Linked DNA regions of Caenorhabditis elegans. The protein of the gene in region 1 interacts with the protein of each later gene in a biochemical or structural test. Each region holds a gene or a part of one and is shown on either strand. Other genes may lie near its edges.

Region 1 (8,089 bases):
GGTTCCACTTCATCCGTATTGCCGATCGGTTCTTCTTTGGTAGTGGCAGGCGAAGTGAACTGACGAACGGAATGCCAATCGAAATCTGTGAAAACTCGTCCCTTTTTCCATTGGATAGCAAATGAGATCCGTTTCATCGAATAGGTTTTCTTTGCAGATGAACTTTTGAAAAGAGCAGAAAGTGAAAATAGTGCAGCTGTGAGAGGATTATACAATTCCCTGAAACAATTTTATATTTAGACAAGAAAAAAACCCATTTTATAACAACGATTCTTACCCATCTTGTGTCTCATCAAGACTTTCCGATTCCTTTGATGGGAAATAGTTTTGAATAAGCTCGAGATCAACAAGTCGTTCATCAACGGACATCGATGTTTCGAACATTTGTAGATGTTGAATTTGATCATTTGAAACTTTGAGAATATGAACTCTCATCCCGACGCTTTTTCCCGAAACTGCCAAATCACATCCAACAATCAGAAGAATATCCACATCGAATGAATAAGCTCTGATAGAATATACAGTTTCAGTTGGTTCCATTGGAGACTTTTCTTCCTCGAAGTCTGCAGATTCTAGATCTCGATTCAAAGATTTTCCGTCTGAAGCAAAGTAGTTATTCAAGTCAATAGTGCTTGGCAATTGTTTTTTCGTCTCAACATTCCATGCTTGCACCCATCCGTCTCTGGTAACAGCGAACACAATATCGGATTGGACTGAAATTTTTCGCTCTCTCGTGACTCCAGAAGTCGGGCGAAGATTCTTCATAACACATGCATCACTGACTCGTTTATCAGTGCCACCTAGAAGTTTTCCCAGAAGACCAACTTCTCCCATTGTGAATTCTTCGTGTTTATCACTGGATTCCGTGTATGATCCCAATGTGACAATGACCAACTGCCCTTCAGCGGTACAGTAAGAAATCTGAATTCAAAATTCGAAATATAGGTTGTAATCAATTTCCATTTTTATACCGTATTTCTTGAAGGATGATGTGTAACACTTGCACGAATCGGGCGCCCTGGTGTTGAAAGGGAGTGAGATGTTCTGAATCGGCGGAAATCGTCATCTTCTTTAATTCTTGCAAGAATTGAGAACGTCTGAAAATAATTATTCTCATTCGATTATGGAAATTTTTGAGAACAAACATCATGGCCTTTGGAGTGGAGTCTCGCGTAGAAACGATGAATTGCAGAAGCTGTGGGAACGACAATACATAAAACCCCTTCCTCGAAAATTGTTATCGATGTTCCAGGAATAATAGGTGTGCGTGTGAAGTCAATGCACAACGATCCATCCGTGATTGAGTAGAGCAAAGAACGCTCCTCAATGAACAGTTTCTGGCCAATCGCACGCCACAGGAAAATCCGATCGCCGTAATTTGAGCAGTGCGGAAATGTTGCAACTCCTGCGGACGGTTGCACATCAAATCCATTCGAATGAAGCGGCGCATCTAAAAAAGTGAAATTTGTTGTAGAAACAATTATTTAATGAAATTGAAACTTACTGGTGTTTACCACAAAAGTTCTAGCCGGCTTTATAGCAAATCCATCCGTGAAGCTGATTTCCGACCCGTAAACCAGCTCCATCTGAAATTAAGCATAAAACACGATGTTAAAGCAAAAGAGAAATATGGAGATGAAATAAACACGTTCAAAAATATTTAAATATCGTTAAAAACAATTTTTCATTGGCGTGAACTTGTTTTACTTGTTTTTTATACGTTTTTTTATACGTGAAAAAATGGAAGAAAACAATTCACTTTAAATTTTAATCACTTATCGAGAAGGTTCTCATTGGATTCAAAGAAAAACTTGTTAGAAATTTGTGAGTTTTTACAATAAGCTTCATATTTTGACACTTTGCGATGTAAAATTTTACAAAACAATGATGAATTGAGCCGAAAACGCCTCCATATGGAGCTCCATTCGAATTCAAAAATAAGGGGCGTGGCTGCATGAGCAATACCGCCGCATGGTATTTCGCAACATGCGCACACTTTTTCTCTGTCAAGAAAAACGAGGCCCCACGAAAAGGGGATCTGCAAAAAGGGGATCTGCGAAAAGGGGAGATACGAAAAGGGGAGATACGAAAAGGGGAGCAACGAAAAGGGGATCTGGCACTGTGCCAAACGCTATTTTTCTCGAAGAAAACGATACAACGATTGTCGCGAATACGCAGAATACTGAGTCATCAACAATGACAAAGCCGGGAAACTCCTGTTTGAAAGCCGCGCCAAAAGACACACACGTCACGCGTGTTACAGTACTACCACACATGCACATCAAACCCCAACACGTCGACACCACGCAAGGAAATCGTCACTTCTTCGTTTTACTCTTGGACCGGCAGGTCGCATGTTAAATATATGAGCTTTCTCATTTTTATCATTTAACGGATTTATCAGTAATAAATTATATAATTCTACCACTTTTGAACCTATACCGATCCGAAACATGGTGCATCGGCTCCGATGTTACGCGTCGCGTGTTGTTAAGCGTATCTTCTAGAAGAAAATTTCAAAAATCAACGTGCGTTGCGTGAGAAAAATTGCGTTTTGTGCGTTTGGCACAGTGCCAGCTCCCCTTTTCGTTGCTCCCCTTTTCGTATCTCCCCTTTTTGCAGATCCCCTTTTCGTTCTGCTCCCCTTTTCGTGGGGCCTCAGAAAAACGCGCGCCTAAACGTGAATTTTGAATTTTCTCCGCGTCCGCGAAATTCTTACGTTTCCATAGTAACAAAAGTTGGTCCGCACTTGTTTTTCATGATTATGCACGCCCAAAGAACGGTGCTGAAGCTTCAAATTTTGCAACCTCCTGTTCATTTTGACTCAAAACTCTTAATCCCAAAAAAACGCTCAATTTTGTTTTCGAACCCGTTTCTTGTTTCAGAAAACTTCGCGTTAAATGGAGGATAATTCTGTGCTCAACGAGGACTCCAATCTCGAGCATGTCGAGGGTAATTATAACATTTAAAATCAATAACTGCATAAATGCAAAGGTTTTTTAGGCCAGCCACGAAGATCTATGTCGCAACCAGTTCTGAATGTTGAAGGAGACAAAAGAACGTCTTCGACCAGTGCCACTCAACAGCAAGTATTGTCAGGAGCATTTTCGTCTGCTGATGTTCGTAGCATCCCCATCATCCAAACATGGGAAGAAAACAAAGCGCTTAAAACAAAAATAACTATCCTGAGAGTAAGTAATTTATCATATGCTTATTTAGAAATGATTTGAGTTTGTAGGGAGAACTGCAAATGTATCAGCGCCGGTATAGTGAGGCAAAGGAAGCGTCGCAGAAGAGAGTTAAGGAAGTTATGGACGATTATGTCGATCTCAAATTAGGCCAAGAAAATGTTCAAGAGAAAATGGAGCAATACAAACTGATGGAAGAGGATTTGCTAGCAATGCAATCGAGAATTGAAACTTCCGAAGACAATTTTGCCAGACAGATGAAAGAATTTGAGGCACAAAAGCATGCAATGGAGGAAAGAATCAAGGAACTGGAATTGTCCGCTACTGATGCAAACAACACAACTGTCGGATCTTTTCGTGGAACTCTTGATGACATTCTGAAGAAAAACGATCCAGATTTCACATTAACCTCTGGTTATGAAGAAAGAAAGATCAACGACCTGGAGGCAAAGCTCCTCTCTGAGATCGACAAGGTAGCTGAGCTGGAAGATCACATTCAGCAGCTCCGTCAAGAACTTGACGACCAATCTGCAAGGCTTGCCGATTCAGAAAATGTTCGCGCTCAGCTTGAAGCGGCCACTGGACAAGGAATCCTCGGAGCTGCTGGAAACGCTATGGTTCCAAATTCAACGTTCATGATCGGGAACGGTCGTGAATCACAGACGCGAGACCAGCTCAATTACATTGATGATCTTGAAACGAAGTTAGCTGATGCGAAGAAGGAAAATGATAAGGCTCGTCAGGCACTCGTTGAATACATGAACAAGTGTAGCAAGCTTGAGCACGAGATTCGAACCATGGTTAAAAATTCGACATTTGATTCTTCTTCCATGTTGCTTGGTGGTCAGACATCCGACGAGCTTAAAATCCAAATAGGAAAGGTGAACGGTGAATTGAATGTGTTGAGAGCTGAAAATCGAGAACTCCGCATTCGTTGTGATCAATTGACCGGAGGCGATGGAAATCTTAGCATTTCACTGGGACAAAGTCGACTGATGGCTGGTATTGCGACTAATGATGTCGATAGCATTGGACAAGGAAATGAGACTGGCGGAACATCGATGCGCATTCTTCCCAGAGAAAGTCAATTAGATGATCTTGAAGAAAGCAAATTGCCGCTCATGGATACATCATCTGCTGTTCGAAATGTAAGTGTATGAAAATTATTATTTAAAATAAAGTCTTGAATATTTAGCAGCAACAATTTGCCTCCATGTGGGAAGATTTCGAGTCAGTGAAAGACAGCCTGCAGAACAACCATAATGACACCCTTGAAGGTAGTAAAATTGATTCCTAGATTTTTTGAAATTGATTATTGTTAGGTTCCTTCAATTCGTCAATGCCACCACCTGGTAGAGATGCAACTCAATCGTTCCTCAGTCAGAAGTCTTTCAAGAATTCTCCGATTGTAATGCAGAAACCAAAATCACTTCATCTTCACCTGAAGAGCCATCAATCCGAGGGAGCTGGCGAACAAATACAGAATAATTCGTTTTCTACGAAGACTGCTTCTCCTCACGTGTCACAAAGTCACATTCCAATTCTGCACGATATGCAACAAATTCTGGATTCTTCTGCAATGTTCCTTGAAGGCCAGCATGATGTAGCTGTAAATGTTGAGCAAATGCAAGAGAAAATGTCCCAGATCAGAGAGGCTCTTGCTCGACTTTTCGAAAGACTTAAATCTTCTGCTGCTCTTTTTGAAGAGATTCTTGAAAGGGTATGAAAACTGTCAAGTTGTGAATCTGTAAATCTGAGTTTTTTGTAGATGGGATCCAGTGATCCAAATGCGGATAAGATCAAGAAAATGAAGCTCGCATTTGAAACAAGTATTAACGACAAGCTCAATGTATCTGCCATCTTGGAAGCAGCGGAGAAGGATCTTCATAATATGTCACTCAATTTCTCAATTCTCGAGAAGTCGATAGTTAGTCAGGCTGCGGAAGCTTCGAGAAGATTCACTATTGCACCCGATGCTGAAGGTAATATAAATTTTAGAGACGCTCATAAATCAATATTTTCCAGATGTCGCCTCATCTTCTCTTCTCAATGCCTCGTATAGTCCACTCTTCAAGTTTACAAGCAATTCAGACATAGTGGAAAAGCTTCAGAATGAGGTATCGGAGTTGAAAAATGAATTGGAGATGGCTCGTACACGAGATATGAGATCTCCATTGAACGGTTCGTCTGGAAGATTGTCGGATGTGCAGATCAACACCAATCGCATGTTTGAAGATCTCGAAGTATCTGAAGCAACGCTACAAAAGGCTAAAGAGGAAAATTCTACATTGAAAAGTCAATTTGCTGAACTCGAAGCCAATCTCCATCAAGTTAATTCTAAGCTTGGAGAAGTGCGATGCGAGCTCAATGAAGCGTTGGCTCGTGTGGATGGTGAACAGGAGACTCGTGTCAAAGCTGAAAATGCATTGGAAGAGGCTCGTCAGCTCATCAGTTCTCTAAAACATGAGGAAAATGAGCTCAAGAAAACCATTACTGATATGGGGATGCGATTGAATGAAGCAAAGAAGAGCGATGAATTCTTGAAAAGCGAGTTATCTACCGCGCTGGAGGAAGAAAAAAAATCCCAAAATCTAGCAGATGAGTTGAGTGAAGAATTGAATGGGTGGAGAATGAGAACAAAAGAGGCGGAAAATAAAGTTGAACATGCTTCATCCGAGAAATCTGAAATGCTTGAAAGAATTGTTCATTTGGAGACTGAGATGGAGAAGTTGTCGACTTCAGAAATTGCGGCCGACTATTGTTCTACGAAGATGACAGAAAGAAAGAAGGAAATTGAGTTGGCGAAGTATCGCGAAGATTTTGAGAATGCCGCTATTGTAGGATTGGAACGTATCAGTAAGGAGATATCTGAGCTAACCAAGAAGACTTTGAAAGCCAAGATTATCCCAAGGTATTATCAAACGTCGTGCTTGTTTTTTTTTATTTGAGAACATTTTCAGCAACATCTCATCGATTCAACTCGTTTGCGATGAACTCTGTCGTCGTCTTTCCAGGGAACGAGAGCAACAGCATGAATACGCGAAAGTTATGAGAGACGTCAATGAAAAAATTGAAAAGCTTCAATTAGAGAAAGATGCTCTCGAACATGAGCTGAAAATGATGAGCTCTAATAACGAGAATGTCCCACCAGTTGGAACATCGGTCAGTGGCATGCCTACTAAAACATCGAATCAAAAGTGTGCTCAACCTCGTAAGTCATACTTATGCACATCAGAAGTTGAATTTTCACCAATTCTCCAGATTACACGAGCCCTACTCGACAATTGCTCCACGAATCAACTATGGCTGTCGACGCAATTGTTCAGAAACTCAAGAAGACTCACAATATGTCAGGAATGGGTCCAGAGCTTAAGGAGACGATTGGCAACGTCATCAATGAATCCAGAGTTCTTCGCGATTTCCTCCATCAGAAGCTCATTCTATTCAAAGGAATCGATATGTCCAATTGGAAGAACGAGACCGTCGATCAACTGATCACAGATCTCGGACAATTGCATCAGGATAACTTGATGCTTGAGGAGCAAATCAAGAAGTACAAAAAGGAACTGAAACTGACAAAATCCGCCATCCCGGTATGAAATTCTTTTTCTATTGAAATCTATTTTGAAAAATATCATTTTCAGACACTTGGTGTCGAATTTCAAGACAGAATCAAAACGGAAATTGGCAAAATCGCAACTGATATGGGAGGAGCTGTGAAGGAAATTCGCAAAAAGTGAACTGATCTGTTAATGTATTAAAATGGAACCAGTTTTATCAACACTATCATCTCGACAAGATTAACTTGTAACGATTGTATTGTTTTCCCAGCCTAAAGATACACCTAATGCATCTATCAATGTACTTGTGAATTAAATGCTTCTTTTCTGGTAGTTGACTGCAATCCCATTACAGATAATAAAAGGAACAGATTAATTTAATGAAAAAACAGCGGACAATCTTACAATAATACAAACAGTTGAGATAAATAAGACAAATTTCGATGGAAGATTTATACAATGACATTGATCAGCTTTCCTCTTCATCCTCTTCGAAGATATTGTGAAGGTGATAAGCTTGACTTTCTGTAAAATTAAGGCGTTTTGTAAATTCAAGAAATTGTGAATACCTTACTTCTGTTTTTCAAGTCTTCCTTTTCGGTAATAGCCGACAAATTAAGGGAGAATGTGACATCGCTTGGATCTGCGTCTTCTCGTGATCGAATCGGAGTTGAACAATGACGTCCTGCACCAAGCTTACTTTCATCGAAAATCAACGGAGTCACTCCGCGTGACAGTGGATCATTTTCAGTGTTACCAGATGAACTTGTTGGCACATTTTCCTCTTCCTCGTCAACAGATTTCCGTTTTCGATTAGAATTCTCTTTCACGACTGGTGGCTCTGTTGACTGACCCCGACGACTACGACGCAAAGTGACGTTGGCCGAAATATTGACTTCCTTTTCCGGGGATTCTTCAAGAAAATAAATTATTTAAAACACATTTTTTCTTGTGTGAAAGCGTGGTCAATAAAATACAGCAAATTGAACAATGAAATCAGGAAAAATAACTTACTGTTGACAATTTTCGGCTTCTTCCATATTTTTCCATCAGCATCCACAGACTCTTCATCATCGTAATTTGGCGTTTTTCTACGACGAGCTGGAATAATTTTTGAATTCAGACGTTTTTTTTAGTATTGTTTATTGTTTTCGACGATTATGCATTGTAGTTTTTTTCAATCAAAAGTGAGCGAAAAGCCTGTCGTTAACTAACAAATTAATATAATTTTCTGTCGAAAAATAACACTCGGAATTGTATCTAGTTCACAAATGCCCAAAATTATCAGATTTTGCAACAACCAAAAAATTAAAACCAAAATTATTTCTCCAGTTTCGAAAG
Region 2 (8,126 bases), on another chromosome or scaffold:
AGAGAGGTTAAAGTCAATCCTCTTCTTTCTGGAACACTCGCCGACTAGCTCCTTGATGAGCTCTCCCATTGGATTATTTTTGAGATATTCCATATACTCATTCCAAGATCGGTCACTGGATGCAATGAGAATATTCAGTTGCTCAATATGTTTAACTGCCATCGAGGTATCACGCAGAATATTGTCGATCGAAACTTGAACGCCGCTTCGCACTACAACTGCTTCATCCTCTTGTGGCATTCTGGCTTCCAATGTTCCAGGCATGATAGGATCAATTTTTCGTTCTCTCATCATTTGTAAAATCTTGTTGATCATACTGGTCAAGTGCATATGTGGTCGAGAAAGACGACGGGCAGCATCCAAGACGACGTCTCCTTGCTGAAGGATAACCCGCTCCAAATAGTTATCAACTATCAAAATGTGTGAATCGCTGATGTCCATTTTAAGTTCTGTGAGTGCACAAACGTAGAAAGCATTGAATGAGTCGACTATATCCGAGGCTCTCAGTTGAGCTCTTCTCTTTTCAAGTTCATCACACCATTTCGACGAGAGCTTCGACACAAGTTCGGTTATACCGGTGTTCATTTGAAGTGATTCAGTCATTGCCAGAATCAATCCGCACAACAGATTAGACAGCTCAACTCTGTAGATTAATCGCATTGCCAGTCGATTGAGAGATCTTGCCATTCCGTATCCGGACTCTGTGTTACCGATTTGGATGATACATCTGAGGACCGAAGAGATGATGGCTTTGACTGTGTCGGGGGACGCATTAAGTGGCTCAAGGCCGTGCTCAGTTTCGACTCCTCCCATCAACTGAAAAGATAAATTTGGATATATACATATACATGGCATGACTAAATGAAACAAAGAGAGCCAGATATATTTCGGAACTCCCCTTGATTACTATGACATATGAAAAATATAACTTACAATGAAAAGCATTTGCGTACAAGCGTCCATAGTTCCACTGACATCTCGTCCAGCATTGAATTCTTCAATCACCAAATCTAATTGAGCAGCAGATGCACGAAACACCAAATCGGCACGTCGATCAACAAGATGACGTTGTTCAGGTTGATTAAGAACATAAGTGACCTGGAACATAGCATCTTGAGCAACATCTGCAAGACTGCTCGAAATATTGTTGATGCTTCTTTGGATTTGATCAGAAGTGTCTATGGAGGAAATCGACGATGAAGAATTGGTCCGCTTCATTTGGAAGGTATTGTTTGACCAGCCATTGACAGGTTGTGGTGGAGTGATGACTTGAGTGCCATCAAGACGGCCCATGGCTGACGAAAAGACGTCGTCACGAAGTGCATAGCGAGATGAAGTTTTTGGAGGCATTGTGTCTTGTCGTATAGTGAAGGTGTCGCTTTGAACTTCTTCTGGTTCAGGTTCACGAGTACGAGATCGAGAAGCAGGACGACGAACAACCGAACCCTGAAAAACATGTAATTTTTCGTTTTCTAAAAACTGAACGAAACTTCGCGTGGGTATCGAATAGGGAATCACTACTAACTCCAAATATTTGAGACAAAAAAAAATATTATTTACTTCCAACTCGTAAGACTGTATGGCCGATTCAAGTGATCTTTCAGGGAACCTGACTCATTACGAGAAATATTTTAAACAACTAACCTGTTGTTGTGGCACTAAAATTTTGGGTCCTCCAGTTGGCGGCGAGGTGACAACACCAGATCCCGGTTTCACTCCTGTTCGTTTTATTCTTTCCTCAACCAACGACTTGTCCTTATCTGCCATTCTTCCTGCTGCTTTCCACATTTGATCACCTTCAAATTTGAAACAAGCCACGAGAACATTGATAGCAGCATTTCGGACGTTGACATCCTTGTCACCAACAAATGGAGCAACTGTTTTTTCGACTGATAACGATTTCAGCGGACTTATTCCAGCATTTGTAATGTAGTATTCAATGACTAGCAGACACTCGGAACGTTGGCGAGCGTTTTTCGACTTCAGCGCATCTGAAAATAAAAATTACTAGAACATTATTGATCTTCTTCTCTCATACCAAGTAGCATGGGTGTCATCTTGAGTGGACCGACAACATCTGAAAGTACATTGACAATATCCCTGACAGAAGTTCTCATATTGTCTTTGGCTTCTCCTGTCTTCAATAACAAGTATGGAACAAATGCAGACACCTCTTCTTGTGACATTGGAGTTTCTGTATCCCGAATTAGCTCCACAATAACTTTGCACAATTCCAAAACTTTGATAAGTGCGGCCGGGTTGGTCTCGAAAAATCGCAAAGTGCACCATTTTAATAGAAGATCGCTGTTGGATAGAAGAGATCGAGGAGATGTATCGGCAAGGCGAACCAGAGAATCAAGAGCCGCAAGATGCTGCTTGAAATCTTTGTGGAAAAGTTGACTCATTAGAGACACTTTCGCTTGGTTTCCGAGCAGGGTTTGAAGTTGCGAGATATGTTCATCAGTCGGAGCTTGGAAATTCCATTTGACTAACTGCAAATTAATTAGAATGTATGATTATTAACTCATTTAAAGCAATTACTTTTAATTGCTTCTCTTCCTTGATTCGTTGCTTTTTATCCTCGTTGTCACTGAGCAAAAGTTCGGCTTTTGGTGCAACAACGGGAGGCTCGTTTTCTTCGTTCTCCTTCACGGGAACTTTCTTCTTCTTATCGCCTGGTGGTGGTTTCAGGGGCTGAAAAAAAAATAATAAAAAATTGTAAGTTTTCAGTTTTAAACGACCACACAATCGATACAAATTACTATATGGAAATAAGAACACAATTTTAATCACCTCATCCTCTTCCTCGACCACTTCCTCATCTTCCGGTTGTTTCTTCGGTGGAGCTGTTTTTTTCGGTGGTGCAGCAGCTGGCGGAGCCTAAATTTGACAACACATTCACAATAAAATTACAAATAAGCAGTACAAAAATCATCAGTGAATACTTCTAAATACTATCATTACTTATATATAAAAAAATAATTCCGTTTGTTCCATAGTTTGTAGTCTATGTAGTCTTTGTAGTCTGTGACGTCACACCCAAAGTCACTGAGAATTGTGGGCGGGGTCTGTCATCCTTCGCGGTGAGACTCATCGTGGCGAGACCCATCGTGGTGAGACCCATCGTGGCGAGACCCACCGTGGTGAGACCCGTCGTGGTGAGACCCATCGTGGTAATACCCACCGTGGTGAGACCCGTCGTGGTAAGACCCAAAATTTTGGCGGGAAATTTAAATTTTCTGTGAAAAATAATTTGGCGGGAAATTTAAATTTTCTGTGAAAAATATTTTGGCGGGAATTTTAAATGTTCTGTGAAAAATATTTTGGCGGGAAATTTAAATTTTCTGAGAAAAATATTTCGGCGAGAAATTTAAGTTTTCTGTGAAAAATATTTTTGCGGGAAATTTAAATTTTCTGAAAATTCTAAAATTCTGGAAATCTAGAATCTTCTGGAAATTTCGAAAAAATTCTCGAATGTTCCAGAACTTTCTAGAAAAATCGAGAAAATTCTGGAATGTTCCAGAACTTTGTAGAAAAATCGAGAAAATTCTGGAATGTTCCAGAACTTTCTAGAAAAATTGGGAAAAGTCTGGAATGTTCCAGAACTTTCTAGAAAAATTGGGAAAAGTCTGGAATGTTCCAGAACTTTCTAGAAAAATTGAGAAATTTCTGTAATGTTCCAGAACTTTCTAGAAAAATTGGGAAAAGTCTGGAATGTTCCAGAACTTTCTAGAAAAATTGGGAAAAGTCTGGAATGTTCCAGAACTTTCTAGAAAAATTGAGAAATTTCTGTAATGTTCCAGAACTTTCTAGAAAAATTGGGAAATTTTTGGAATGTTCCAGAACTTTCTAGAAAAATCGAGAAATTTCTGTAATGTTCCAGAACTTTCTAGAAAAATCGAGAAAATTCTGGAATGTTCCGAAAAATTGAGCTTAGAGCTTTAGAAGAGGTAGTTATTCGGGAGTTTATGGGGGATCAAGTCAAGGTACTGTAGTGTTACTATAGGGGTACTGTAGGTATACGGTAGGGTTACTGTAGTTTTGGAAAAATTGGCATTTCGTCCTTTGAAGAGGTATTGGGTTAGGAGTCGGTGGAGGATAATGTCAAGGTACTGTAGTGGTATTGTAAGGTTACTGTCTTGGTCAAAAAATAACAGAAAGTTTTCATACTGTCTGTGAATTTTTGAAACATGCATGTCGTAGAAAAATACATACATGTAACAGTGCCAGTAAACCGCGTTTTAAGTGTTTCAAGTTTTTTTCATGATGAGAAATTTTTTGAGTGATTGAAGGTATGTGTGTCAAATACTTTTAATGGTGCCAGGCGTTGCCCGCGCCGTAGGCGCGGTCAGCGGCTGGTTAATAATAATAAAATAACTCACATCTGCTTTGTGAATCGATTTGACCATTTCAGCAATCTCTGCGGGCCCAGCTTCATCCAACGCCTTCTGATGAAACTCCTTGATTTTGCTCATTTTCAGATTATCCGATGCAATATCGGCGAGAAGTTGCAGAGAAGGTTTTTCTCCAATGGCTCTCATCATTGCTCCCATTGCAGCGTATGATGCTTCACGAACTTCCGAATCCGAATCACCAGAATGTTTTATCAACGACGGGATCAGCGTCTTCAAAGTCTTCTTCGGCATGGTCTGTGAATTCAGTTTCATGAAGCATCGTTGAAGGAAAAGATCCGTTTGAGTCTTAATGCTTGGATTTGGTTTTCCGAGCGCTGCGAGTACGATTTCTCCAACTGCTTCGAGATTTGTGGTTGCAACAACTGCATCAATGCAAGCAACCAGCGGATCACGTAGAGTTGGTTTCTTCTCTTTGAACTTCTCAAAAATGATTGGAGTCACAGACACAGCAAACGGCTGGAACTTCGTACGGAGACCATTAGCAATACCAGTTATACAATTGGCCGCTAGTGCAGCCACATTGATATTTGCATCTTTCTCGAGGACCTTAATATTTGAATTTAAAATAATTTTTCAGGACAAAATACACATACCTTCTGCAATCTCTCAACGAGTGCGCCATAGTTTGCCTTTGGGTCGAGCTTCGGATTCGCTGTGATCAATTGAAGCAAACCTTCAAGCGCTTCTTTTCGTTCCTGCCATTTCTTGCTTTCGATGTTGGTATCAAAACCGTCGGGCATTTTGGAAAGTACGTCGAAAGCGTCAAGAAAATCCCAAGGATCGGCTTCCGCAACTGGAGCTCCAGATGAAACAACAGCAGTTGCTGTTCCGCCGGATGGATCTCCCGAAGCAGCACTTGCCGAAGGTGTCGAAGAAGTGGGAGCGACTGGTGGAGCATTTTTAGCTTGTTCTTCTGCGAAGCTAGCGGTTGATTTTTCAGCATATTCCCCAATCTTTTTCATTTTCCCTTCATCGGAAGAAGCATCGCCGAGGAGATTTTTAACGTTTTTGTCTCCAATGATGCGCTGAACAGCTCCTAAACCTTGAAGAGATGCCTCTCTGACATCTTGATCTGCATCGCCAGTCAATTTTCCAAACACAGGCACAACAGCTTTGATGAATCCTTTTGGTTGTTTTGCTGGAACCACCAAATCTAACTGCCGAGCCACAAAAAGTGCAGTCTGTTGCTTGATCTGAGGATTTGGTTTGGCCAGCGCCGCCAAAATGTCTTCCTGACCAGTTTCCAAAGATTGCATTGTACGGCCGACTTCATTGGAACAGTCTACAAGAGGTTCTCGGAGCATCGGCTTCTTTTCTTTCATTTTTTCGAAAATGACGGGAAGAAGTGGTCCTGCGAAAGAAGAGAATTTTGCACGTAATCCCGTTGCGAATTTTCCGATGCATTTGGCTGCAAGCGCTTGGCAATTGATGTTTGCATCTTTTGCTAGAACCTGTAAAATGAGATTGCAGAAATGACCGAAAAATATGAAAACCAACCATCTGCAGATGACCAATAAGTTCGGCATATGAAGCTTTTGTTGAAAGTCGCTCATTGTCCGTGAGTACTTTGAGAAGTGCTTCCAATGCCTCTTTTCGTTCCTGCCATTTTTTGGATTCTCGCAGCTCATCGAAGTTCGGTGGAAGTTTGGGAAGGATATCCACCTCGTCCAGATAATCCCAATTGGACATTATCTGAAAAATGACAGTTTACTACGTGCCTTGCAATAAACAAAGAAAGCGAACGAAAATAAGTTTTGAAGAGAAAGGAGATTTCAACAATAGATTTCCGGTGGAGAACGTAGAGGGAAAAAATCAATATTTTCGAACTGCGAGGGGTAATTGGGGTCACATGGAACTTTTTCGCCGCAAGCCCATTTTCGACCGATTTCGCAACCCGTCAAAAAGAAGCGCAAACAGAGAAACAGAGGCGGACGGGCCGGCTCAGTTGCACTACGCGGCAAAAAAAAAGAAAGGACAAAAAATCAATGAATTCTTTATACAACTTTTTGTTCGAGCCAAGTGAATACTAAAACACTACGCAGATAATAAATTTGATTAATTAGATAATGGAAGTGCTTCACAAAGAAACAAAATCTCAAAAAAAGGACGAAACATCTCGAACAAACGCTTAACACTGTGCGACAAACACTGAAAAGCTTAACTTGCGACGACAAATTATTTAAACAATTTAATGATGAGCTCACATGGGAACAACTGATATTCATTGAAAAAGTGCGAAAGCGAGAAGGTTTCCGTTGCGCTTTTCAAAACTATTTTCTACCGCGCGTTCGAATAAAAATGTCGTCAAGTGGCATGCTTGATACGCAACGCGCGCGTAAAACGACGGGGCTGTCAACTGCGTACTGAACAAGAAAGGAAACATTTTCTAAAAAGCTCTGTTAAATAGCGAAATTTGGTCTTAAAAATAATTAAAGCGCAACGAAGAAATGTTTATTTCAAAAATACGAATGCAAAATGAACAAGAAGTGTTTTGGAAGGGAGAATTCGCGCGCTTAAGCCATCGATCAAGGTCAATTTCAGATATGGAGACCGGGAGATGAAAATTTTTGATTTGTAACAAGACAAAAATGAGCCTACGCCTAAAAAACGCGTTTGAAACGCGAGAAAAACAGGAAATTTGGCGCCAAAAATGCTGTGCGGTCTCGACACGACAAATTTTTGATAAATGAAAAAGGTGCGCGTCTTTAAAGAGTACTGTTGTTGCAAACTTTGGTTACTGCAGATTTTCTATCGATTTCTCAAATACCGTATATTTCCTATTAGCGCTGCATCTTCAATAGTACTACAGTCTCTAATAATGTGTGTTTTTGTATATTTTTGATGGTTTCTTGTTAATTTACAAACATCATATTTATTTTCTGATAATACTGCAGTCTCTAATAGTGCTCGAAAGTTAGTGTTGTATGCAGCACGCGTAAAAAAAAGGGCCCGAAAGTTAGTGTTGCATGCAGCACGCGTTTATTAAACCTTTTTTTTTTGAATAAAAAAATCTAAATTTTAACAATTCGTGAGAAGAAGCATGAAAAACCCCTATGGTACTTTTGCTTATGTTAATTCGTGTTGTCTCTCGACGTGGATCTCACAAAAAAAACGTCCATCGTACTTCTTGGAGGCTCTTATCCTACCAACGGTTCCTGAAAGCTGGTGGCTTCTGGCGCAATATCATATAATTCACGGTGAACTCGAAGATAATATTTTGACTCTAAATAAAAATTTTCACATATTTTGTCTCATCGAAAATTCGTCTATAACACAATAACATACATATAAACATACGGTATAAAAGAAAACAATGTATCATGAAACAGTGTCAGTTGAGTCAGCGAAAAAGTCGTTCTTCTGACGATGTCGAAGAACATTCCATTTTTTGTACAAGTACGTTTTTCTTTTATTTCAAAACTAGACAACATGTTGAAAAATCATTCACAGTTTTCTTTAAAATTTCCAACGTAGGACATGACAATTGTTGTAGTATTTGATCCCAGTTACTTCGAGTTTCTTACGATTTTTTTCAAATAAAATTTCAGAGTCTTCCAATATTATTTCTTGGAATATGCTCAACTCATCTCGTGGCAAAATCGTTAATGGTTTTTTCCCTATTATTATCTCTAGCAATAATGCATAATTTCAGTTAAAACATCAACTTCCATCGGTTTCAGAAAATGCAACTAATACTCATTTTGGATTGAC

The links. The genes of interacting proteins can lie anywhere in the genome.
Region 2: the proteins of spd-5 (region 1) and zyg-9 form a complex in vitro, tested with the Caenorhabditis elegans proteins (one study listed by BioGRID).

The regions. Positions count from the first base shown.
Region 1 is NC_003279.8:5,170,333-5,178,421, reverse strand, and holds spd-5 (Spindle-defective protein 5), read left to right. Parts: upstream 1-1,767; 5' UTR 1,768-1,824; intron 1,825-2,885; 5' UTR 2,886-2,900; coding exon 2,901-2,952; intron 2,953-3,003; coding exon 3,004-3,191; intron 3,192-3,238; coding exon 3,239-4,336; intron 4,337-4,383; coding exon 4,384-4,465; intron 4,466-4,510; coding exon 4,511-4,908; intron 4,909-4,956; coding exon 4,957-5,170; intron 5,171-5,213; coding exon 5,214-6,099; intron 6,100-6,148; coding exon 6,149-6,399; intron 6,400-6,449; coding exon 6,450-6,781; intron 6,782-6,832; coding exon 6,833-6,928; 3' UTR 6,929-7,120; downstream 7,121-8,089. Other genes in the region: npp-6 (NUP160 middle TPR domain-containing protein), read right to left, coding at 1-219, 278-921, 972-1,097, 1,146-1,450, 1,505-1,586; Condensin-2 complex subunit hcp-6, read right to left, coding at 7,121-7,273, 7,318-7,661, 7,763-7,849. UniProt on the Caenorhabditis elegans protein: Plays a central role in centrosome maturation and mitotic spindle assembly during the first division of the zygote. Required for the centrosomal localization of air-1 and zyg-9. Probably not required in late embryogenesis and during larval development.
Region 2 is NC_003280.10:8,455,799-8,463,924, reverse strand, and holds the start of zyg-9 (Zygote defective protein 9), read right to left. Parts: upstream 6,108-8,126; 5' UTR 6,105-6,107; coding exon 5,913-6,104; intron 5,867-5,912; coding exon 5,009-5,866; intron 4,962-5,008; coding exon 4,383-4,961; intron 2,881-4,382; coding exon 2,794-2,880; intron 2,695-2,793; coding exon 2,542-2,694; intron 2,493-2,541; coding exon 2,039-2,492; intron 1,992-2,038; coding exon 1,645-1,991; intron 1,447-1,644; coding exon 934-1,446; intron 817-933; coding exon 1-816. Other genes in the region: F22B5.6 (Serpentine Receptor, class J), read left to right, coding at 7,782-7,811, 7,964-8,023, 8,068-8,126. UniProt on the Caenorhabditis elegans protein: Plays a major role in organizing microtubules and spindle poles during mitosis and meiosis in one-cell stage embryos. Required for default nucleus positioning in oocytes.